2 linked regions of the Styela clava genome follow. The protein of the gene in region 1 interacts with the protein of each later gene in a biochemical or structural test. Links are inferred from orthologs where the notes say so. Each region holds a gene or a part of one and is shown on either strand. Other genes may lie near its edges. The genes, in order: mitogen-activated protein kinase kinase kinase 7-like and TGF-beta-activated kinase 1 and MAP3K7-binding protein 1-like.

Evidence for each region.
Region 2: of the proteins of mitogen-activated protein kinase kinase kinase 7-like (region 1) and TGF-beta-activated kinase 1 and MAP3K7-binding protein 1-like, one has a biochemical effect on the other in vitro, tested with the Homo sapiens proteins (4 studies listed by BioGRID and IntAct). The link is inferred for Styela clava from reciprocal best matches to the Homo sapiens genes MAP3K7 and TAB1.

The regions. Positions count from the first base shown.
Region 1 is NC_135259.1:21,783,875-21,796,876, forward strand, and holds the start of mitogen-activated protein kinase kinase kinase 7-like, read right to left. Parts: upstream 5,526-13,002; 5' UTR 5,336-5,525; coding exon 5,258-5,335; intron 4,711-5,257; coding exon 4,583-4,710; intron 3,954-4,582; coding exon 3,859-3,953; intron 2,981-3,858; coding exon 2,842-2,980; intron 2,694-2,841; coding exon 2,606-2,693; intron 1,937-2,605; coding exon 1,844-1,936; intron 1,572-1,843; coding exon 1,441-1,571; intron 1,078-1,440; coding exon 916-1,077; intron 405-915; coding exon 275-404; intron 1-274. UniProt on the Homo sapiens protein: Serine/threonine kinase which acts as an essential component of the MAP kinase signal transduction pathway. Plays an important role in the cascades of cellular responses evoked by changes in the environment.
Region 2 is NC_135253.1:22,517,013-22,530,413, reverse strand, and holds the start of TGF-beta-activated kinase 1 and MAP3K7-binding protein 1-like, read left to right. Parts: upstream 1-8,000; 5' UTR 8,001-8,019; intron 8,020-9,679; 5' UTR 9,680-9,693; coding exon 9,694-9,923; intron 9,924-13,401. Other genes in the region: uncharacterized protein LOC144421899, read right to left, coding at 819-895, 1,319-1,360, 2,071-2,103, 2,403-2,426, 3,310-3,526. UniProt on the Homo sapiens protein: Key adapter protein that plays an essential role in JNK and NF-kappa-B activation and proinflammatory cytokines production in response to stimulation with TLRs and cytokines.

The sequences.
Region 1 (13,002 bases):
GTCACATTTTAAAGTTTCGAGGAAATCTTTTGTAATTTTCAGAACTGTAAAGTCAAACACGAAAATGGACACAAAGCGCTGCCTAAAATAAAAACTAAAACAGGTATAGCTTTGAAACTTGGACCAAAAGATGGTCGGTCCTTGGTCCATCATGACAGAAGATCAAAAAAGCCAATTTCTGAAAATGTGACATAAGCTCCTTAGGTTTTGCTGTGGCAATACGATTAAGTTATATCAGCTTTTTATATCCAAAATAAAAATTCATTCATCTCACCTGTCTTTGTATATTAGGCACAGATTGTGATGTCACCATTGGTGGTCTATCATGATTGGTCATATTAGGATTTGTAATGTGTGTCTTCCTCAGGGTGTCGCTGATTGTACTGTATGTTGTTCCATACCCTCTGAATAATAAGGACATAAATTAAATAAAGCAGAGCAAAATTACCTGCCTAACAGGATACTTGAACAAGATGTAGTCGACAAAATTGCAGGATTCCACATAATAAATGTTGTATCGAACCTTTATTGGACTGCTTAGTGTTAGTAAAATAGGATTTACATAATTATCCTTGGAAAGAGGGAAGATAAGACAGCGTAATCATATGGCGAACCACGGCCTCTTGTCCGGTTACCAATGTCGGGTATGGGAATAGGTATTCAGTTATTTTTCTATATCTTATCAAACATCCTTGTGACACAGGTCCATATCTAGCAGTACAAGAAACATGGAATGTAGAATAGACGGTTTGTCACATGGCGCTGAGCACATTTAAATAAAAATGCTAATATTTGTGGGCTAGTCGGCATAGCGCAGTGGCACCCAACAAATTTCACCCAAGCTATTCACCATCTTTTTTTGTCCCCTGAGATAAATATGAGATCAAATTATATATAGAAATATTCAGTGTTCACCTGTCACTGCCGGTTTCATAATAATCAGACTCTTCATCACTGTCAGAGTATTGTGGAAATACAAGGGGAACATCAGAACCACGGAAATACGGCATCAATTCTGTCATTGCATATACAACATCATTCATACTTGGACGGGAACTCGGATTTTTTGACCAACATCTGGAACAAGAAATAATATTAGGTTTTCATTGAATTTAAAAAAGACTCAACTAAAGCTGAATAGTATGGAAAACATCTTGTAGCCAGATATTTTGATTTCTGTACCTAAAAATCCTGAAAAATGGATTCTACATAAAATGTTTTCTATGGTTTACTAGAGCAGGGCTGTGGTGTCAAAGATAATTTACCATCAACCAAGACTTGAGAAAAAATATCTTCTCTTGAACTTGACTCGGAGAAAATCAAACTTTGGTGACAAACACATTGAAATATCCAAACCTTTATTGATAGACTGTTGTCAGGACCACATAGTAAACTTAATGCTTGAAGTTTTGTGAAAATTTATAGCAAACTCGCACCCACCTTGTCATTAGTTCCTCAATAGGTTTTGGGCATCCCTGTATTAATGGCGGCCTCGTACCGGTATGAACTGCCCACATGATGCGAAATGCTGGACCTCCCAACTCATCAAATGGTTTTCTTCGAGTTAAGACCTGTCAACAATGTTGTATATTAGAAAAAACTTAAAGAGAAAGAATATATCATAACCATGGGCACAATATCCGAGTAGTTAGAGCACCCGATTTTACACGTTGGCACAGCAGAACTAGTCAGATCTTGGTCCTTATAAAACTAATAAATTCTCATTCCCAGTTGCTGAATGTACATTGCATTGTTTGAATTGAAGCTTAGAAAACGACTTTTAAACTCTCCCTATACTTATTCAAACTGTGGCACAAAAAAAAGAGCAAAATCCAAATTCTACCTCCCAGAGTATGATTCCCCAGCTGAAGACATCACATCTCTCACTGTATTGACATCCTTCAAATACTTCAGGAGCCATCCATGCCGCTGAACCCTGTGCAAAAGAATGGTTTGATACTTTTAATTTTTTTATGAATGAAATTAAGGGCACTCACTCAGAAATTAAAAAGACGCATTTCTGAGCAAAGTTATGAGCACACACTCAGAAGTATTGAGAATCATCTATGAGCAAAGTTATGGGCACTCACTCACTCAGAAGCAAAGAAGACTCATCTCTGAGCAAAGTTATGAGCACTCACTCAGAAGTAAATGAGAATCATCTATGAGCAAAGTTACGTGCACTCACTCACTCAGAAGCAAAGAAGACTCATCTCTGAGCAAAGTTATAGGCACTCACTCACTCAGAAGCAAAGAAGACTCATCTCTGAGCAAAGTTATGGGCACTTACTCAGAAGTAAATGAGAATCCTCTCTGAGCAAAGTTACGTGCACTAAGTTATGTGTCAGAAGTAAATGAGAATCATCTCTAGACAAAGATACACTCGCTCACTCCAAAGTAAAAGTGACTCAGCTCTGAGCAAGTTTTAAGATTTTATGGTAAATTGTTATTGGTTTGGCTGCGATGTGAAACTGGAAAGCTGACAACATCGCTTGCTTATTACCAGTTGCGCACAGATTACTATGACTAGGCTTCCTCTCATATTTCCCTCACAATGGGGATAAACACAAAACCCATCTCATAATGAAAATACATGAATCCCTACCTTGTTATTAGTCATCTGTGTGTGAATGTCACAGGCAGTGCCAAAGTCACAGATCTTCAGAACGAGTCCTTGGTTCGTCAGAAGTAAACTGAACAGTAAAATAATAGGATTCAAAGCTGTTTGAAAGGATTTTCTCAAGTTGGAGTATGCGGCCTAAATCAGTGATTCTCGAACATTACAGCACCTCATTCATCGTCATCACTCGGAGAAATAATTAGAAAAAAAAAATATCTTACTTTGGGGGTTTCAGGTCTCTATGTATCAGAGCTTTTGGTTTCATATTATGAAGATAAGCGACACCTTTTGCACATTGTAAACACCAACTCATCCCATGGCCCCCGGTGTAGTGGGGGAGAGGCCCTGCCCCATGCAGCACTGAAAAGTATAGAATTATGCTAGTTTATATAGAGGTGCCAAACATACTTTTTGCAATGAAAAATTTTATTTTTTTTATTCTACAGTAACAGGTATTTGATTGATCTATGGGCATGTAAAAAAGATCAATTGTGTCTGTGGAAGCCCATAGATTCAAACCAACAGTTAAACGAGAATATCGGTCAGAGACCGAAGACTTATCGATCGAAAGTTAGGGGATCCCCCAAAACAGCGCTCCTACTCCATAGTGACACCTTGTGTCCCATCACTAATTAATTAATAACTCGCTAATTATACAACATAATTCATCCAAAATCAATAGGCTTCTGGTACAACATATGATGAATGCACATGCAAAATCTGGAGCAGATTCAATCTCGCTTTCGTGAGATATCGCGTGTATCTTACAGACAGACAGAAAAACAGACAGACAAATACCTATCAACATACTTACCGATTAAAATCGATAGGTAACAAGCTAAAATGCTAATATAAACATTATATTATTACTTTTCAACTTTCAACGACTATAGTTTTTATGATTATGAATTTCTGATGAAAATAACGTTATATTGGCCTTGATTCTTACATCACATAAACGTTAGCCAAGCTGTTGTGAAAAACTTATTTCAATTCATAGGTTTTCATATTAAATCTTGTGCCTCGGGCCCGGTAACCAAGTCTATTGTCAATAATTGGCCCACTCAGAAAAATAGTTGTACAACCCTGGCTTGTCTATCTGGCATATTTCAATTATTACCATGGCAAACTTTTAAATGAAAAATTTAATTTTTTTTTCAAGTCTATAAAATATAAATCCCATCGAATACAGTTAATTCCAAATACTTGAATTTCCAATTTATATCTACTTTACTTACAGTCATACAGAGATCCACACTCTGCCAGTTCCATAACAAGAGACACAGGGTTACTGCAGGCACCATACAGACGAATGATATTAGGATGTGAAACTCTGGAAATAATAGTTCGATTAGGGCTGGGAATAGTCAGAATCGCAATGAAACAAACCTACTCATATCCTCACATATAAGCAGAGTTTGATACGAAAAGAAAGTTGCCAAACAAACTAAGGGGTCACCTTAAAGCCGCATAACTTTGATCGCACTAAAAACCTGGCTTGTACGCGCATAACTCTATTCGCGCTAAGCGTACGGAATGTTACGATTGGTAGGGCCGGTATATATGAGAATTTTTATAAATTCACCATTTTGAGATCGTTTTTAATGGGTCGGCTTGTATGTGAGGATATTAATGTGCATTGTGTTTATTTTGTTTCATACTGTTTTTTTCATATCTACAGCACTAAACTTGGTAATTGGTTAATAAAATCACAGGACCTATTAATCATATTAGTTATGACTTTTCGGGCACTTCAGATTTTTGATATAAACATGGCATCATTAAAGATTTATATTTCATGAGTCTGAGTCAGGGGTTTCAAAATCTTTTTTGAAATTTTGAAGATCAATTTGCGATCAAAACGAGTTGTGCAATAAAGCTAATTTACACAATAACATATAAATATAATATAAGAAACAATGTAAGTTATATAAAGTGCTGGAATAACATGCCAAATCAAACCTTGAGAGCTGCCTCAATTCTGTAATGAAGGCTCGACGTTCGTTCTCAGATTCAATCTTCTTCACAGCGACAGGATGTTGGCGATAAACAGCTTCATAAACTACGCCGAAAGCTCCTTTGCCAATCGTCTGAAAAGTAAAGATGAAACGGAATATGAAGATGCGGATGGACACCATAATGTACAGTTCTCTGATTAAAAGAATAGCCCGCACATGAAAGACATCAATTACAACAGTGAGTGCAAACTCTTCCCTTACGAGACAGGCTGGGCCTCCATATCGAATCAAAACACAATAAACTAAACTAAAAGAAAGTGCAATTTAAAAACATCACCATTGGATTCCTTGAAAATATAATAATCTAATCTAATAATCTATCTGAGGAAAAAATCTTTTACCGAAGCATTCGAAAGTTTTTAGCAAGTAAAAGCAATTTTGGTCACAAATTATTACCAAGACAAGCTCAACACAATCTGACACATGTGTTGTCGTGCCAGACATCTTCGTTTCAGGGACCAATAGAGTTTTGTTTTATTGAAGCAAAGTTCGGGACATCTTGGAATCAGGGAACTGTGCCCCACTGTGAATAATACTTTTATTTTCACATTAAAAATGATTTAGAATTTCTCAATCACAGAAATAAAGTTTTACCAACTTAGCAAACCGGGATACTCACATTCCCCAATTTCATTTCTTCATATTTTATTTCCTCAATAAATCCAGGCGGAGATTCCGCATATACGACATGAGCCATCGCTGCTCAGCTGTTCGACCTCGCTGCAACCAGTGCCACATACAAGAGAAAACCTGGACGACCCGCCACCTAAGCTGGTTCGAATGTTTATTTCTCTTTTTTACTAAGTACTTTTTACCTACGCTCCCATGTACGGTGACTGAACATCAGCAAAGAAATAGGATAAAACTCAACACAACCACACAATTTCTCCAACATATTCAAGACAAATATTTTACTTAAGATGTGAAAGGAGTCGCATTTGGTGATCAACGATTATCTTCTGATCCCAAGCGTATGAAATGGAAAATGTAGCGATAACATGAAAATTGAGAATGAATCAAGCTGATAGGATAAAATTTACATATTAAACCCTGGGAAGAGAAATGCCGATAAGACGGCTTAACCATATTGCAAACCACGGCCTCTCGTCCGGTTACTCCAACCAACCTGGCACACATACTTATTTTTTATTTCCGATGTTGCCTACTACATCAGTTCTAAATTAACTTCTTCAAAAACATTGCACGAAATTTTTCATGTTTCAGATTTTGATATGATTATGAGGATAGGATAGAATTCACATATTTATCCCTGGGGAGAGGAGAGTCGATAAGACGGCTTATCCATATGGCGAACCACGGCCTCTCCATTCGGTCCAGTTACCATTCCAAGTCGGGTATTAGATTAGTTAGTTATTGTTAATGGTTATTAGGACTTGGTGGTGGAGGAACGACCAGCGGTTACGTGAACTTTTTCATGTTTCAGATTTTGATATGATTATGAGGATAGGATAGAATTCACATATTTATCCCTGGGGAGAGGAGAGTCGATAAGACGGCTTATCCATATGGCGAACCACGGCCTCTCCATTCGGTCCAGTTACCATTCCAAGTCGGGTATTAGATTAGTTAGTTATTGTTAATGGTTATTAGGACTTGGTGGTGGAGGAACGACCAGCGGTTACGTGAACCACCCAACGACGGCGAGGAGTCAAGCAATCCTCTCGCACATAACTATCCCTGCATGGGATTCGAACCTGCGAACCCACGCAAAGTAATTAGAGGTGCAGTGGCGAGCGTATTCCTAACGCTTAGCCCGTTGAGCCACACCGCCGCGTTAGTTTGACGATTGCTAGTGTAGAATGTTGACTCTCGCTGATATGCACCGTCACTACCTTAGAAATAAATTAACCTATATTAATTAAGGCTGTTAAACGCTGTTTTTCTACGGTAAATTGAAACAAAAATCGAAACCATCCTATTTCAGAAGATTCCTTCGATATTAACGTGATGAGGGTATTACAAGCGACTGCAAGTTACGGCCCCAAAGCTAACCGCACAAAAAGGCCGAGTAGAATCCTTATTAAATCATTTTATAATTTGCTTGATCTCAATATTTCATTTACATATAGCAAATAGATTAATATCGTGCTTTTGGCGGCCCCATCCGGTATTTTATTCGAGGTACCGCAGTTTGAAATCTCATATTACACGCTTCGGTAGTTGGATATGATGTCATAATTGACATTTTTGGCGGCCGAAGCGTCTGTGAAGCGCGCCATTTCTTTACAATTTCTGGCTGTGGGTGGTCAGAAGAATTGGTGAAACGAGAATCGGTAAACTGGTATATGAAAAATTATTGTTCATATAAAGTCTTTGCAATGCAAAAAATGGGGTGTTAATCAGCTGGATATTAGCGACATAAACTCGGTATAAGAGATTTACTTCAAGAACGTTTTGCATCGTAGACTACATCGCGTGAGTGATTTCTCAGTATTTGATATAGTTTTCATGCGAGTTCCGAAGTTCTGTAGTCTGCTGTTAACTTGGGATTTATCTATTGGGCACTTAGATAGGATACCAGCATATGTTACTGCATCCTCCACCATCAAGTTCATGCACCTTGCACCTTAAAACAAGTGACCGGTCATACTATGGGGGGGACAAGGTTTATGGACTGGACCACGTAATCGCAATCTCAACAAATTCTATGAGCTATTTTTTTTTATCTAAAAAATATCAATTTGGTTTTAGTTTGGTTGTGGCAGCATCTGACGTACCAGTTTGAACTATCCAATGGGTCGTGTCATGATTATACTGATCCTATGTGATAAAGCTCGACCAATATTACTTCTTGTCGCCGATATCAATATATCGGCCAACCGGTAGCGTATAATCAATATCGCTATGCCGATATTAATATAAATCATATTTTGAGCCTCGCTTTTATGAAGCACCTCGTGAGTCTGTATTTTGATTTTTATTATCATTGCATTGAGACTTTTATTTAAATAATTCCAGTTAATGCTCGAACAAATGTTATTCTGTAACTTGTCCTGCTACTTCAATATCAGTCTAGCTATTTCCAGGAAAAAGAATTGTTAACCCTTTCCGTGCAATTTTTATTTTTTATTAAATAATCGTATTTGCTACGCCGATTTTATGCATTTGTACCCCCACAACTAATCGATCGACTAACGAAAAACTAATGATCCTCTGCTGCCCACTGACGGCTCGTTGGAAAGCTTATTTAAAGAGCTTTCAATTGGCAATTATAAAAAAAAGTTTTTCTAAAATTGGTGGTCTGAGTCACAAACCGGATAGAAAAAAGGCATTTTTTTTTCGTAGGAGTTGAAACTTCAAACCACAATAAAAAATAGAAATATTCGCTCAAAATACTTTGGTAGATGGAAGGGATAATATGTCTTCTATTACCACCCAAAAAACACCGAAATTTGCATAAATTTCAGAAACACTCTCTCGTTCCGCCGCAAATAAAATTCCCGTCGTAAACGAAAGCGAGATTTACCGTCGCTTATGTTAATCTCGAAGAAGACTTCTTATCAATAAACTAAAACCTGGAAAAACTAGACCAACAGTTTGCGACCGATTGCTAACTAAAACAGTGGAGTACATCAATGTACCCACCGCAATCTAGCGACCTTTGTCGTTGGTACGTATACGTGCCCACCGCACGGAAAGGGTTAATCTGACGTTTTTAAATATAACTGTGGACACATGTTAATAAGGGTATTAAAAAATTATAAATTGATATATTTCAAAGTGAATCGTGATAATGATAAATTTCTTCAATATTGTGATAGCATATGTTCAGTTACATGTGGAATTTTTAATAACTTTGTTTCCAGAGACTCTCAATACCTTATTTAGTCAATAATAATGAATTAGGTTTTTATTTTGTAATTTTCAGCAAAATGATAAACAACCATCAATATAAACAAAACTGCTACCCCAGAAATTCAAAATTGAATTTGGGAATGTCACAAATTCGGAACTGACATTATTGCTTTGAGATACCTGTGCCATGTTTCTATGATCACTAACTCACCAGCTTCCAATCGATTCTATTTATAGAACCACCGTTTAATGCTGTTACTAAGTTTGCCTTTCTCTCATTGTGTACTCTCTCAAAAACGTCACTTTATGAAACGTCATTGTTACAACTTTTCAGTTATGACCATGCATGAAATGGCTAATCATAAGACACCGGGAATTAGGAGAGACACCTTCATAACGCAAAATGAAAGCGAGAGGAATATTGAGAAACCAGTTACACAGGGGCGAGAGCCGTTGTGGCACGCAGCCCGGCGCTAGCCGATATATATCGGCTGATATGATATATCGGCAAACACGCAATATCGGCCCTATATATCGGTCGAGCTCTACTATGCGGTAACCAGACAAGAGACAGTGGTTCGGCATATATTTATTGACTTTGGATAGGATAGGATTTACATATTTATCCCGGGTGAGAGGAAAGCTGATAAGACGGCTTATCCATATGGCGAACCACGGCCTATCGTCCGGTTACCATTCCGAGTCGGGTATGGGATTAGTTATATTGTTTTGTTTTCGGAAGCTTTCATGCGGGTTGAATATGTACATCTCTATTCTTAAGGGAGAAGTACAGCTGTGCTTGTGTACCGGCAAGCAGGCTAGTACTGTATTGAAGAGATAAATATATATTGGCGTGGCGGTGTGGCTCATCGTGCTAAGCGTTAGGAATACGCTCGCCACCACACCTCTGATTACTCTGCGTGGGTTCGAATCCCATGCAGGGATGGTTATGTGAAAGAGGATTGCTGGACTCCTCGCCGCCATAGGGTGGTTAACGTAACCGCTGGTCGGTTATGGCTTCCTCTACCATCAAGTCCATGCTTCCGAAAACAATTAACTAACTAATCCCATACCCGACATGGAATGGTAACAGGACGAGAGGCCTCGGTTCGCCGTATGGTCAAGTCGTCCTATCAAGCCTCTTACCCAGGATAAATATGTAAATCCTAAATAAATAGGATAAACTTGTTATTTTTCAAAGTACCGGTATATTTGTTAGCTTTAGTTAGCGCTGTTTGATTAGGTCATATCATATTGTGGAACTATCAATTAGCGAAAGCTTATATATTTCGTGGAGAAAAAATATGTTTTCTAATTTGTCTGTTTTTGGTTGCTATTTTAGTTATTATTTAATTCGACCATTTTCATGTACAACGTAAATAAGCATATAACGTAAATCTGTTGCAGTTCAGAACTTTTAGTAAATTGTTAGAAATGGCATATCGGAGAAGATGCATGAATGTTCTGGGCTCATGGATAAGCATACAAAGTAGTATTCGTGTTATGTTCTGAATTGGAGTAGATATGAAACATTAGGCAAAGGGTTAGAGTAAGCATATGAAGTGGGATTCATGGTATGTTCTGGGTTAGGATAGATATAAAACTTTGGGCAAATGGTTAGTGTAAGCATATGAAGTGGGATTCATGGTATGTTCTGGGTTAGGATAGATATAAAACTTTAGGCAAATGGTTAGAGTAAGCATATGAAGTGGGATTCATGGTATGTTATGGGTTGGTATAGATATAGAACTTCATGCAAATGGTTAGAGTAAGCATATGAAGTGGGATTCATGGTATGTTATGGGTTGGTATAGATATAGAACTTCATGCAAATAGTTAGAGTAAGCATATGAAGTGGGATTCATGGTATGTTATAGGTTGGGATAGATATAAAACTTGAACCAAATGGTTAGATTAATTCTGAGTTGGATGGATATAAAACTTTAGGCAAATGGTTAGAGTAAGCATATGAAGTGGGATTCATGGTATGTTCTGGGTTAGGATAGATATAAAACGTTAAGCAAATGGTTAGAGTAAGCATATGAAGTGGGATTCATGGTATGTTCTGGGTTAGGATAGCTATAAAAACGTTAAGCAAATGGTTGGAGTAAGCATATGAAGTGGGATTCATGGTATGTTCTGGGTTAGGATAGATATAAAACGTTAAGCAAATGGTTAGAGTAAGCATATGAAGTGGAATTTATGATATGTTCTAGGTTGGGATAGATATAAGAAGTTAAGCAAATGGTTATAGTAAACATACACGGTATGTTCTAGATTTAGGACAGATGTAATACCTTAGGCCAGGGGTCACCAAACTTTTTTGACCGCGGGCCGGGTATGACTCAAACTATGTTGAAACGGGCCGGATGAATATTTTTGTCAATGCAATAAAATTGGGAAATTCATTCAACAATATAAATTCTACATTTCTGAAGACTTAAATATTAAATTCCACCTATATCGCAGAATACAGATCGAGAACATCCCATGAAAACAAATATACAAGATTTCTATATCTAGACAACTATCCTGAGTTTAGCTGTTATTAGAACGTTGCTGTCATGAATTAGGAATGTTACAAAATCTGCTTTTTCGCGCCAAAAAATGTACGCAACACGTCTGACTATTACCGTTACGCCGTGTTGGAATACCGTTCATGAAAACGACTACGGATTGCCTGCTGTATCTTGGAATTCCATGAAATTGACATAATTTAGATAAAATAAATAACTATTATCTGGTATTTGAATTTTTTCATTAGCGCATAAAATATCCCAACATTCGGAGCTTCTGAAAATTACGCTCCAGTTATACGTAGTGCAAATTAATGATAGTGTCTATGGACACCAATAAAATTTATATGGACGTGTGTATTTCGTGCCTAGCTTGATACTTACCAATTTTTATGAAGTTTGTACAATCAGAACATCGTTAATTATTACCCACAATTAACCACTGTCAAACTATCATGCACAACTCCAGCGTTTATTTGCGACGGTGGCGGTGCCAATGACCGTTGCCAGAATAGAATCCTGAAATAGTCTCAATATTCCAACGATGTGACGCACATCGAAAGATTGGTGTTTGATAAGTGTTCTTTTTTCATATTTATTACAGTTCTTATCAAAAAAGTAATACAATCCTCATGGTAATAATTGGCCTGTCGGGCGGTACTAAAACTCCGTTATTTCTTGACCGTTTTTATAAAATAATTTCTTAAACATTTTATAAAATGTTGCGTGCCGGTAGAGAATTTTAGCCTATTTTATCACAGCTATTTTTAGACTAATTTTTCATTACTATACTAATAAAAAATAAAACTACAACTCCTAAGGAGGCAAATGATGATTGACTTATTTGATTCATACTCCCAATTTCCGAAACACAACCAAAGACTAACGAATAGCATTCAAAGCCGCAAAAACGAAGTATTGTTCACAACCACGACTGAGAATCTGTCAGGGTGACAAAAGTGTCTGAGAGGATGCGAAAAGGTCTATTAATAAGTCACTTTTTTGCATCTTGCTGATTGGCCTAGGTTACAAAATAAACAAGGAAGACGATGATGGGGAAAATCTCCCTCGGTAAAAAATTTAGCCAATTTTGCGTATTATTGCGGGCCGGAGCCGGCCTGCGGGCCGTAGTTTGGTGACCCCTGCCTTAGGCAAATGGCTAGGGTAAGCATATGAAGTGGGATTCATGGTATGTTCTGGGTTGGAAAAGATATAAAACTTGAACCAAATGGTTAGAGTAAGCATATGAAGTGGAATTTATGGTATGTTCTAGGTTGGGATAGATATAAGAAGTTAAGCATAGTAAACATACATGGTATGTTCTAGATTTAGGACAGATGTAACTCTAGGCAAATGGCTAGGGTAAGCATATGGAGTGGCATTCATGGTATGTTCAGGGTTGGGATAGATAAAAAACGTTAAGCATGGTTAGAGTAAGCATATGAAGTTGTGTTTATTGGTATGTGCTATGTGAGATAAATATAGAATTTTGGAATAAGCTCATACAGAGATTCAAATTAGTTCCAATACATAAATTGGTGTGTTAACTGTACTAGGGACAAGATGAAAAATCCAATACAGCATGAGAAATTATGTTAATCGCTCCTCAGCAAATCAGTGGGTGCTTATACAAGAAGACCTTATTCATAGTGAAATTGTGAAAACGCTCATAAAAATTGATTTTCTAACTTCATGTCTTACGTCAGTGATAACACAGCATTAAACTGCACTAAACACTGAATTAATTGGATATCAAAATGTGGTATTTGTTAACGACACCACACTTGAAACTAATAACTGCAGCAAAATCGAAGAGATGGCATATTGAACAGTCTAACTTATTCCTTCTTCCAAAAGAAGCAGTGGCCTTGCGGTTGAGGCATTATATGTTACTATGTTGGCATGGCAGGTTACATATCCTTGGTACATATCAAAGAGTGTAATAACTTGGGCAATGCCAAAAGTAAAAGGTCTCAGTCAAATCTAAAATTAGTAGTTTTTTGCCTACCAATTGCAAAGGTGTTCCAAAAAA
Region 2 (13,401 bases), on another chromosome or scaffold:
GTGTACTAGGTTAGGGTTAGGCCATAATTTTAGGTATGAATACTACGGGAGGCTCTTGGCTAGTCTTCGAACTGATAATAGGACTAAAATAAGGAAAATTGGAAAAAAATTATCGCCTAACCCTAACCTGTTACCCATGTTACGTTCCGATGGCCGCCATCTTGGTTCGCATACTTCGGGAGCACCGCAATTAAACTACAACTTCTGAAAAGACAAAATTATGATTGACTTATTTCATTTATACTTAAGTTTCGGAATCGCGATCAAAAACGTATAGCATTCAAAATCGCGAAAACGAGGTATTGTTTGAAACCACGACTGAAAATCTGTCCGAGTGACAAAAGTGTCTATTCAAAAGGGTCTATTGTTACGTCATTTTTTGCATCTTGCTGATTGGCCAATGTTACAAAATGAACAAGGAAGTCGTTGCTCGGGGAAACATCCATTGGAAAAAAACGCCATTTTTCTTAGTGTTATTGCGGGCCAGATGAAAGGACGCCACGGGCCAGTCAGTGGCGTGCCTAGAGGGTGGCGAAAGGCAGCCGCCCCGGGCAGCACGTTGTAAAATAACAAATTAGTAATTATCAAGTTAGAGTTAAGGGTGAGGAAAGATTTCAGTTTCCATCGCAATCTACATTTCTAACCCTATCTAGATAACTACTGTTTTTTTTTTCTTGTTTTTTTTGAGCGGGGGTGTTTTTTGACGAGATATTGTACAAAAGATCCCAAATGCCTTGTCAAGATGGAACACTGACACAAAAATAATACTTCTTTTTCCAACTCGATTTTATTTCAGTATTTTTTTTAAACAAGAAAAGTTATTTTGTAATTCCAAACAGTTTCTTCTCAACATTCAGTATGTTCCTAATCGAGTTGTCCGTTAGAGTGCGTCGTGCTGTTCAAATTAAAAAATACAGTATATATATTTTATATGTATGTTTATGGTGTAGCGAATGTGGAATATACCTATAAATTCAAAAGTATTTCATTTCTGGGTGTGAATAGCATGTTGAATTCAATGAAAATAGGCCATTTCAGAATTCTCTTCAACTTTTTACTTAAAGTTTCAATCCTGTTCTAACCTGGAATATATTTCGTTCTGTTACGATAACTTCAACTTTAAGGACAGATTTTGAAACTAGCAGAAAGACTATTCAAACAGAACTTTTCTCCTATGGGACGGCTTTAGGTTATTCCCTCCCATCCGTATTTTTCCTAACAGAGTTAACTTGAATTATATCAGGTTTTGTTTACCTGTTATTCACTTACATCTTTTTGGCAACAATACAGGGTGTCTTAAAAGTAAATATATACTTACCATCAATATTTTGTATTTCTTGTGAGATTCCCAACAATCCCCCTGAAATTAATAAAACTGAATTTTGATTCCATACGCAAGACCATACGCTAGACAGAAGTCAAAATATGTTGTCTGGAAGGACGAAACCTTTCCGGTTCGGCTGCAATGCTGAAAAGTCAAGTCTAACGCTCTAGCTGAATGTTGATATGAAGAGAATTACATTCTGTACAGGTTTTTACTTATCGATTTCAATCGGTAAGTACGTTGATAGGTATTTGTCTGTCTGTATGTCTGTTTGTTTGTCTGTTAGATGCACGCGATATCTCACGAAAGCGGACCAGAAGCCTATTGATTTTGGGCGAATTATGTCGTATAATTAGAGAGTTATTAATTATTTAGTGATGGGAAACAAGGTGTCACTATGGAGTAAGAGCGCTGTTTTGGGGGATCCCCTAACTTTCGATCGAGAAGTCTTCGGTCTCTGACCGATATTCTCGTTTGTACCTTTGCGGCTGCAAAATTGCATTTTTTGCTGTGATGGAAATTGAAAACAAAACCGAGGACAACTTCTTAGAATTGACGTACCGTCGTTGAAACATGTAACATTAATTTTGTCAAATGTAATAATATTTAAAACTTTTATTGGTGATAAATGCGCTGCCACGTTGTGGAACCACTACTCTAGCCGCTAGGCTACGGTCATCTTTATATGATGCCAGGAAAGTAAAATATCCCTAAATTATTTACAAACAAATTTATAACATTATTACCTGGCGTTGATGGATCAAGCTCAACTCCGGAACCTAAAATTAAAAGTTACCGATAAGTAACGTTTGACGTGACCTGGTCAGAAAAACAGGCCTAGAGATGCACGGAGTAGCTCTTTAGAAGTCTGATGTGAAGCTCTTTAAGATTGGATTTAAAGATTTATGCCGGAGAATAACTCGTTGGCTTGAACCTTGCATTGTATAAAGAAGATTGCATTAGCATCTCTGTTGCAAAGTAAGTTTATGTGCAGACGGTGGTCTTGATCAAAAATTCCATAGTCGTTAAATATTTCAACTGATTATTGAACAATGCAATGAAACTATAAAATACTCACTCGTGACAAATGTTGATGAACCCCCTGAAATATATTTGATAAATTGAAAAACGGCAAAATAAAACCAAAAGTGTAATACCACTAATAGGAAATTTCGCACTCGAGGCGCATACATGATCATAAGCTAAAATTGTGCTTTCTCCGTGCCTAAATGTCTGTTTTTTTGCGCTAAAAATCCAGTCAAATGGGTAACAGGATGTCGAAGTCGTTTTTTAATCGATGTTATTCAGATTGAACTACTTTTTCTCTGCAAATATAGTATCCAGAATTGGCCTTGAACTTCGCAACGTTCAGCAAGATTCTGCAAATACAGTGACGTGCTGAATAGATAACTTATTGGGGAAAGCTGTTGTTTTAACAATTTCATGTTTTTTCTATCGATCCTGTTTTTTTACCATTTGTCCAGAGATTCATTAAGAAGGAAGGTATGGAACATCCAAGAGCGTAGCCAGCCCACAATTTGAATTTTGGGGGCAATTTTGTTTTGTATAACGACGTTATTAGACGCTTACTCGTGTCTTTTGCTTGGAATGTTGTGTCCCTGACACTGACTAATGAACTATACAAGCATCCAGCTTGATAGAAACATCAAGTTTAATGAAACATCAGTTTAATGAAAACAAACAATAACACCGCTTAGCAAGCAAACTTAGAACAGCGTACCAATCCACTAATATTTCGTTTCGTTCATTAGGGGGAAGGATTAATGTACAGTTATCCTGGAAACATCCGGTTTTCAGCAAATTGTTAGGGAATAGAGCAAAATGGTGTTAAAAAATGGTGTCTTACTGCAAACGCTGCAGAAATGCAGTTCAAGTAAAATGTGAATTTTTTTTTAAGCGGGGGGACATAGCCAATGGGGATATCCCGTAAAATACCTGATCATTGTATTGAATTAAAGTCAAACCTCCCGATCCTTCGCTTTGCATGGCTTCAACTAATCTTGTCATTTCGCTGAAGAAGTCTTTCATAGACTTATAATTTGCGTCTAGATAGTTGTATCTGGCTTCGGGCGAGTCAGGTACTGTTGGAGACAGGTAATTACCATCGAAAATGTCCAAACTGTCTTCGCATCTGGCAAGTGTGAAAACGACCCATAAGAATGCTATTTTGAAACAATACATTGCTTCAGTTGTCGCACGTTGACTAATCTTTACTTAATCTAAATATTTAATCGAAAAAAAAAATTCAGTTGAGGCACTCAAGAACATGAATAATATTTTTTTCTGAGCTTCTGCAACTCTTCTTTGCTATCTTTTAATAAATTTCATTCAATTATCTTTTGCAGCGGTTCCCAAAACGCGGCTCGCGGGCCAATTACGACCCGCCGTTTCGGGCGAAACGTTACAGAAATATATTTGTGTTAGTGTGCAGCAAGACTCTTGAATCACTTAACAAAAATCGTATTGTAAAAATTTGATCTATAAATATCAATACCAGTGGTTCTAAAAAGTTTTAGGCCGCGCTTCCCTTTTTAGAATTTGTCAAGTCTCGCGCGTGCCCCCAAAGTGACTAGCTAACAATAAGCTACAAATAACAGATAGCAAGGCGAATGTTTTATTCGAAAAACAGGTTGAACATACGTGAATGGAACGTTAATATCCATAATAATAAAATGTGAATATCAAACAAATATTTTTTAGTTAGCTTCCCGCCCACCAAAAAATTGTCTACGTCTTACTTGCGGGCGCGCCCCGTTTGAGAACTAGTTGTCTATACGCCTTCTTTCAATTAATAACTTCACGGACTAGCACTCTGTCAAATATCATGAGTATGAATAGCAGTAGTCCCAAATAGTATTAAAATTTTAAAATTTTACAACAAATCATTTATCTTTTACCACTTGGCGAATAAGTCCTCGCTAAACTGAAAATTCTTGGATATCTTCGTAGTTATTTCGCAAAAGTATTAACCATATTGAAGTATACGCAATGTTACTACGCTGTTCGGTATTATAATATATCATAACCACCACCGCACAATGTGCGGTGAGATAGCACTGAAACAAAGTAGGGCCTACAGCCAGTCGCAACAACAATACAAACAACAATATGTTCAACACACGTAAGATTACTACGTTATTCAATAAAATTGTTTTAGCATATGGGCAAACATACATCCAAAGAATAGCTGTATGGAGCCTATTGTATGGAGATGTACTATTACCACTGGTAATTCAAGTAAAAAATTATTTTCCAATATTTTATTTGTTGGTTTGTGTGAGGCTGACACACATGGCAGGCACCCTTTCCTCCTCGCATCTCTCCCCGAATCAAGTAAGTTTCAACCAGTACAAAACAAATTGTGTACAAATAACCAGAAAATAGCACTTACAGTTTTAGTGGGGAAGAAAAGCCGCAGGAAACCCAAAACATGTTGACTAAGCAGCGATATTCAAGGTGCGAATGCTTTTAAAATTGCTGAGTTATGGAGTATGAAAAAACATTGGTGTTCAGTAATACTATTTCTATAATTAAATTACCCGATCTTTTTAACTAGATATTAGAAGCTTACGTGTCGCTGCTCGATAACTAGAATTAGTTTTCCGTCTGGAATTAAATAAGTAAGTAAGTTTCGGTATTGTTGTGAGAAACACTTCAAACGGTTGTTCTCGGCTGGCGTTCGTTATTCGAAACTTCTTGCTTAAAAGAAGCGATGAGATTGGACGGAAATTTGAAGTTTCAATTTTTCTTCGACTGCTCTGGGGCTTCGTTGTTTTTCTCACCTTATATATATATAATTTATATTTTTTATTCACCCCACGCTTGCTTGCTACGCACGTCGTTTCTTCTTTTCATCGTCACATTCTAAAAACACATTTCAGGTGTTCTCATAATGTCTTCAGGCAGCGACACCTGAATTGTATTATATTTTTTGCATAATATTTTCTTGCTTGCACTCCGGCAGCACGATTGTACCATTTCGTGACCAACTTTCCTTCTGGTCCTTTGCCTGCTGGTCGGGCCTATTTCCTCTCTCCTCGACCAGTCTGCTGGTAGCGTCCCTTGCTCGGCGCTCCTCTCTTGTGCGGATCAGCCTGCCTGCCATTTCTTTTCTCGGCCGCCTTTCCTCTCGTCTTGTCTGCTGAGCATATCCTGGTGGCTGGGTCTGCTGCCCTTTCTTTCCTCGGTGCACGTGCTGGTCCTCTACTGCAGCTCGGTCTGCCTTTTCTTTTCTTGACGACCTGCCTGTCTTGTCTGGCGGTGCTATCCTGCGGCTTTGTCTGCTATCTCCTTCATCGACGGGCCCGCTGGTTCTTCCTCCCTATCCTGCGGCTGGGTATGCTATCTCTTTGCTCTGCGCATCTGCTGGTCTCCTCTTCTACGGCTCACAGCCCGTCTGTCCTTTCTTTTCTCGACCACCTGGCTAACCTGTCTGCTGGCCCTCTGCTACAACTCGATCCACCCCGTGAGTTTCGAACCTGCGCTCGTGCCTGACCTGATGTTTGACAACGTCTCTGCGTTTCTCCTGCGCCACCGTCACTTACAAGGACCGAGCTGGCCAGAAACTTGGTTATTTAACAACGTCACGCTTAGCAGCCCACGACAAAACTAATTACCCCGAAATAATTATTACTTTAAACATACTGCGTTGATTCGAAGCAGGTGTATTCACGTTTTAATGTATGCTAAGTCGTTCAACTGGGACTATAGTGTGCGCTCCTGTAACTCTTAAATGTGCGGATTTGGAAAATAATATGATATCCTGTTTCTAATCGTGGTTCAGTTTAGTTCTTTTTATAAAAAAAAGGAACAGTAATTCTGCAATCATTGTCGATAATGTGCGTTAGATAATTAAAAGAGCGAATCCGTAAACCCCAATTCTGACTGTCAGTAAAGGAATACAAAGACTGGAAGACGATTCATCGATTTGATCATTTTTTACCTCTTGTGCTAACTGACCGCCCTATATCTGGTTTACTGTTTCTAAATTTAATAAACATCTCACGAAAAATCTTGAAATTGGCGCGGCGTTATGTTCTTTTACAGAATAAAACGATATTATACAAACTGGTAATAAAACGAAAAACCCGACAAGTTTTGCCCAGTGACAGGTAAAACATGCCATCCCGCCTAATGCACTAAAAATGAAACGCAGTAAATTGCGCGTGCGATGTACCTTTCTATTCGCTCAGTATCTGCGTCAAAGCCACACGCCATATTTTTCCGGATTATGATGAAATATAATCTAATCAATGTAAAGTAGCCTATGGTCGATCAGTTTCTAATATACTAAAATAAATGCATAACCGTAGGATTTTATAGCAGATCTTCTTCATTTCTATATTTCCCTGTGAAGGTTCATATCCGAATATCTACCTTCATATTCATTTACGTCGTGGAAAACTAATAAACAATATGAAATAAATAAAATGCATGAAACAAATTACAGAAACAGATATCGGCTTGTTGCAGTGGACGAGGTGTCGCGAAAAACTCATCAGTCCACAAGTCAACCAGTCAACGACACTTTGAAGCAGCAAATATAGCAACGGAAGAACCCAATATTAAACATTTACCTAATTAGACACAATAATATGATTAATAACAATAAAAAGAATAAGAAATAAACTACAGATGCCACAATGACTATGGAATATTACCTAAATGCTTACTTAGTAATTAGACACAATCATACAAAAAGAACAACAAAAATTCAAATTAAACTTCGAAATGCCACAACACCTATCTGTTTTGAGCATTAGCATGATTGATTAGTTTGATATTTTTTGCAGGGGGGGGGGGGGAGCCTAATTCCTTATCTGGTGTACCACGGCCCCCCGTCAGATTACGACCAGTTTATGCAGGGTAGGAGATCAGTTAGCCAGATATTTGTTCCAGTTGCATGGGCTTGTTTGGGATTTTCTTGGTCGAATAAGCCTAATCGTTTCTTAACTCTCATTTGGAATTATCAAAAATAAAATTTTTAGGTACAAAAATTTACAAATGTTTTTTTTTTATGTAGATTACGCAAGTCGTTATTTTAAATCCGGTTTTGACTGAGTATAAAATTTAGAAATATTAAATAAAAAATAATTATTAGATTCTTGGTTGTTATTATTCATATTATTGGTAAACTGTTATTTATGTTATGCAATTAATTTTTCATTTCAAGTCTCAAGTATATTTTATGTCTGTCCCATTTGTGTTATGTAAATACGGCTATAGACTCCGGTCATCGAGAACATTGTTTTTGCACTTGTTTTGCCGTCGAACGGGCCGCCCTTTAATGCTCAGCTGATTCCCAGATTAGGTGCTAACGTTTACTTATGTCTGTATTTGAAAAAAAATTTATTGTGAATTAACATAAAATATATAGTGCACTAGTGCAGTACCGATAGTCCTAGATAAGGATACGAGAGAGAGAGAAATTTATTTTTCGTAAACCAGAAAAAAAATACGGAAATAGCAAACAATAAAAAGTTATTCAGTATAGACTGCTACCGGTACTAGACTAGACTACGAGCTACTGAACTGCGACGTTTTTTGATCCACTATGGCTTCTATTTCTGTATTTATAAAATTAGGCCTCTATCTGTCTATAGCCTGTACAGCTGTACGGTTCTCCAATTTCAAGAATGGTCCCCACATTGAAATACATAAATTAGGATAAAACGGTGAGTGCAAACCTCTGGTTTACGAGACAGTTTGGGCCCCATAAATAGGCATATTTCAGTAATTTGGCAAACCAGTTCTGCGCAATAAACTAAAAGAAAGCACAATCTAAAACCTCACCATAGGATTCCTCATAAAAAAATGTATTGATGAAAAATTTTTTACAGTAGCATATAAATATATTTTGGTTTTCTCGTAAAAAATATCATACACAAAAACCAAACAATGAATGCACAGAAGATTAGGAAAATTGGGGGAACTGGCAAAACCTCTATAAAGGTTTAATGCAAGTAAATATACATGCAAACATGCTGCATAAATATGCACACGAGCGTTTTCAGCAAAATGAACACAATTTTGGTCTTGTGACGGCCACGTTCAATTTAGATCATTATCGAGACGAGCATGGTGCAATCTGACGCATCCGCCATCATGCCAGACTCACTCGTTTCAGGATCAAATAGAGTATTTGTTTAATTGAACAAATAGTCTGGCAATCTTGGAATCGAAGAACTGTGTCCTTCTGATTGCCAATGATGTTTTCGTTATAACCATTGCTATGAAACATTCAGACATTAGCCAAAATACAGCAGTGAGACGTAAAGTTTTCAAACTTATTATAAAACTGTGAACTATGAATTATACAAATTTAATTTGAACTTTTCAAATTAATGTTGAAAAGTAAATATTAAAAACATTCATAAGCCACCATTTTTGGCAGCGCCAGATCCAACTATTAGGAGGAGCTGCATTAAACACAGTGACCCTGCGGCTCCAGCTCTGGGTAAATATCTCTTTATCATCTCAATTTGAAGGGGCACTACATATTGACGCATCGTGCTAATCTTCAGGAATATGCTGACCACCGCATCTCTGGTTATCCTGATTGGGTTTGCAGGTTCAAATCTCATGCAGGGTTAATTATGTGCGAGAGGATTGCTGGACTCCACATCCAGTACAGCACACTATCCAAATTCCAAGAATTTGCCTCAATAAAACAAACACTCCATGTGTCTCATAAACGAGGGGCGTCTGGGACCACGACAGATGCTTCATATTGCGCCATGCTTGTCTCAATAATAATCTAAATTAATCGCGGCCGTCACATGACCAAAATTGTTGTTTTTTGCTAAAAACTCTCGAATGCTACGAAAAAAAATTTTTCTTTGGTAAATCAGATTATTTTTTCTCAAGGAATTCAATGATGACGATACTAGATTGCGCTTTTTTGTAGTATTTTGCGCAACTTCATCATACTGTATTATTACTAATATTGAGGGACAACAATGTCCAGATGTCTCCCGAAGGAGGGGTCTGATCATCTAAAAGTAGGGTTTTTCTGAAACGGGACAATGTCACCCGATTTGTATAGTGTGCCGTACTGACATTGCCGGAGGGTGGTTCCATAACCCCTCTCCACGATCAATTACATGCTTCCGAAATAAAATAACTGGCTAACCAATCCCATACCTGACATGGACAGGTAGCCCGACGAGAGACTGTGGGTTGCCATATTATTAAACTTTTTATAGGGTGTGCTCGTCCCTATGATAAATATGTAAATCCTACCCATATTATAGACTACTAGACCAGTAAATAAATCAACTTCCGAAGTTGGAATAAATTTTTAAAATAGGAACACTCTTTATTTTGCGATTACAGTTAAAATCTAAAAGATGGCGACTGCTGCGCCTTTACGGCCTCCACAGGGAAGTACACATTCGTCCACGAGTTCGTCATCGCCCAGCGTTCATCGTAGAATGCTTAATCGATCTGGTGTTAGTTGGACGGATGATTTACCAGTCTGTAATTTGTCGGATATTGGAATAGCTCCGAACGTTGTCTATCTTCAGGATGGTAAAACAATGGAAGCTCATCAGTATGCCGACTTTTCTTTCAATTTCAGGTTGGTAAAGATGTTTAAAATGAGTGCAGCAAGTCTCATGAATTGAATAGAATAGCCATTTACACTCTTGCTACAGCATCCTAACGTAATACACATACGGATCCACCTGCGCAAAGGCATAGAGAGCAAGGAAAGGTAGTTAGTTTCACGCAACCTCAACTGTTAGTAAAATTTGTACGTTGTTGTTTTGTTCTGTAAAGCTTTTTTGAATAGAAATATCAAATTTTTATAATTCAAATTGATTTTATTCAAAAATTATTATTTCAATCAGTGGTTATATGACAGTCAAAAAAATGCAGTCATTCTATATTCAAATATGTAAATCATTTGAGATATTTTGTACTCTGTCTGTCTGGTGCAAGATTTCAGGAGTGAAGTTGAATGTTTTATTAAAATCGAAATAATTTTGAAATGCCAAATCCAACTATCTTTGCATTGGTTGGTTCTTCAATAGCTTTGTTTGCTAGTTGACCATGTAGTGATGACTCATGTTTATTGAAGTCCTTGTCATTGTTATATTTAGCAGATTCAATGAATTTATTGTTTATTGGATGACGCATATTTCAGCATTTTTATGTTGAACCAGTTATGTGTGACCAATGGCCGAGATGTATCATGATTATGAATATAGATAGTTCTATATGGGTTCTTTAGTAATACAGGCAGTTATAATCATTACTTATTGATCTTTAGATCGGTAAGTATGTTGATAGGTATTTGTCTGTCTGTCTGTCTGTCTGTTACATGCATGCAATATCTCAAGAAGGTGTGGTTGAATCTGCTCCAAATTTTGCATGTGCATTCATCATATCTCGGACCAGAAGCCTATTGATTATGAATGAATTCTGTCGTATAATTAGCGAGTTATCAATTAATTAGTGATGGGACACGCAGTATCACTATAGAGTCATGAATCGAATCCGCAGTTTCGATCGATAAGTCTTCGGTCTCCGACCGATATTCTCATTTAAATATTTGTCACAAAATTTTTCAAAACCTATAATCTACTACGGTAATTTAGTAGTGGGCAAGGTTTTCGGACCAGGGCATCATAATGAGAGTGACATGGAAGTTACATTTCATGAACAATATTTACAGTGTTTCAAAACTGAAAGTGGAAAACTTAATTTTATCGCTATCTCAACAAATTCCTTGAGCTAAAACATCAAAATTTGGTTTTGGCAGCGTCAGGCGGGCCAAATCGAATTACCCAGTCGGCCGGATTTAGCCCATGGGCCAAAGTTTGCCTATATGTCAGATCTATTTTATTGCCAATTAGCGACTTTTTCGACATACTGGACATGGGTTCTTTTCCAGATTTTTCAACTGGCCGTGTTCATCATTCTAAATATCTGAATATTCTCATCATGGTTCTATAGTCTGAAGTAATTCTGCCATGCTGTACATTCAAATTAATATTTCAATAGGTTTACATTTTGTTGTACATTATTCATGGTAAAAGTCACTTAGTAACTTTTGAAATTTATTCCAGATTCTCTTTGATTTTGACACAGAAAGACATTTAATTGGGGCCTCCAGCGGGTTCCCTTACTTTTTCTATTCATAGTTTTTGCGCATTTCACTCTGTATAAGGAGTTACTAGATTTTGGGAAGAAAATAATTTTATTTGGTTTGGCATTTCTTATCTAATTTATTACACCTTGGGTGGCCGTAGCTGCATGGGATTGTCTGATGTTATTACTTATCGATTTTAATCGCTAAGTATGATGATTGGTATTTGTCTGTATGTATGTCTGTTAGATGCACGCGATAAAGCGAGATTGAATCTGCTCCAGATTTTGCATTTGCATTCATCATATCTCGGACCAGAAGCCTAGATTTTAATGAAAATTTGAGCTTCTTTCACTGGACTTTTGAGTTTGGTCATGTGGTGGTATCAATAAGCTTGTACATTTTCTATAGCATAAGCATAGAGCGATGCTTATGGGCCTGTTTTACAGTAAGCCATGGTACAAACTACAAACTGCTAAATTTAACATGGTTTGTCTAATCTTAGATGATTTGTACATCCATCCTCTACCATACCTCAGCGACCCCACCGACTCCATGACCTGTTTGCAACCCTACCTAATTATCACTCCGACCCAATTTGGGGTCGCGACCCCTGGTTTGGGAACCCCTGTATTAGACTCTCAGTGAGGGGATAAGAATGATTGATAAACTTAGGACAGGATTTACATATTTCACCTGTGAGAAAGGAAAGTTGATAAGACGGCTCAATCATATGATTGACCTTCGATTCGACCTATGGTGAATAAAAAAAAAACAAGAAGAAAGCCGATAGGACAGCTTAATCATATGGCGAACCACGGCCTCTTATCCGGTTACCGTTCCATGTCGGGTATGGGATTAGTTAGCCAGGTGTTTGTTTCCGGAAGCATGGACCTGATAGGGGAGGAAGGTGTAACCGATCAGCAGTTACGTGAACCAACCTACGGTGGCGAGGAGTGTAGAAATCCATGGGATTTGAACCTGCGAACACGCAGGGCTGTGGCGAGCATATTTCTAGCTCTTAGCATGTTGCGCCACACCATTTAACCTGATATGTCATTATAGTTAATCCGGACGCTTTAGCCATCTCGCTTAGTAATGAAATATGTTACAGTTTATTTGTCTACATTGCAAACATTTCTAGTTGCAATCACTCATAATTTAGTCCTGTCTCATATTAGATCAAGTTGTATTTCAATAACTAGAGAGTAGTGTTTACCGATGTGCTCAGAAACAAAGTTTTCAGTCTATAGGTGACTCATTTTTATGCACATGAATTTCAAAATTTTTTTTGTATGTGGACTTTGAACGGGCTATTCCAAGTGACACTACAAGACAATTCCAGAAATTTTTCATGTTGTTAGATGCAATATATTTTTACATTTTCAGCTACATGTTTTGTTTTATTGTCCAATCAGTTGCTTTATTGAATATGTAAAAAAAAAATTGCACAAAAGTTAAAACCAAGACATACTTAGTGGATATAAAAAATAACGTAAAATATAGTGTGACAACACAGGACAGCAAATCCACCTTGCACTAACAGTACTTATGCTGTAATTTTTTGCGATGGTACAGCAGGAGCCCATAATATTTTCTGGTGCAGTAGCTGAAGGAGCTCTATGTGTAGCTCAATTCACCTAATGTAACAGTGTAAATCCATGCCAATAATTTGCATTTTGTATGTGACACTACAGGACGATACACCACAAGACATTTTTCCACTTCGGAACAGCGGCCTCTATCATCTCTCAAAATTCTGGTAATAAATTGTTAAATAGGCGAAGAAATTTCCTACAGCACTGCAAACATTTAAACTTTATTAACTTAAATTCAGTGAGTCCATTTCATATGAAAAAAATTTATCACACAATCAAACACTTTGTGTCACGAATCATCACAAAATATGCCAATTATACCACAATTTCTACATTTTAGGCCATTTTTTAAAAACCATCAAAAACCT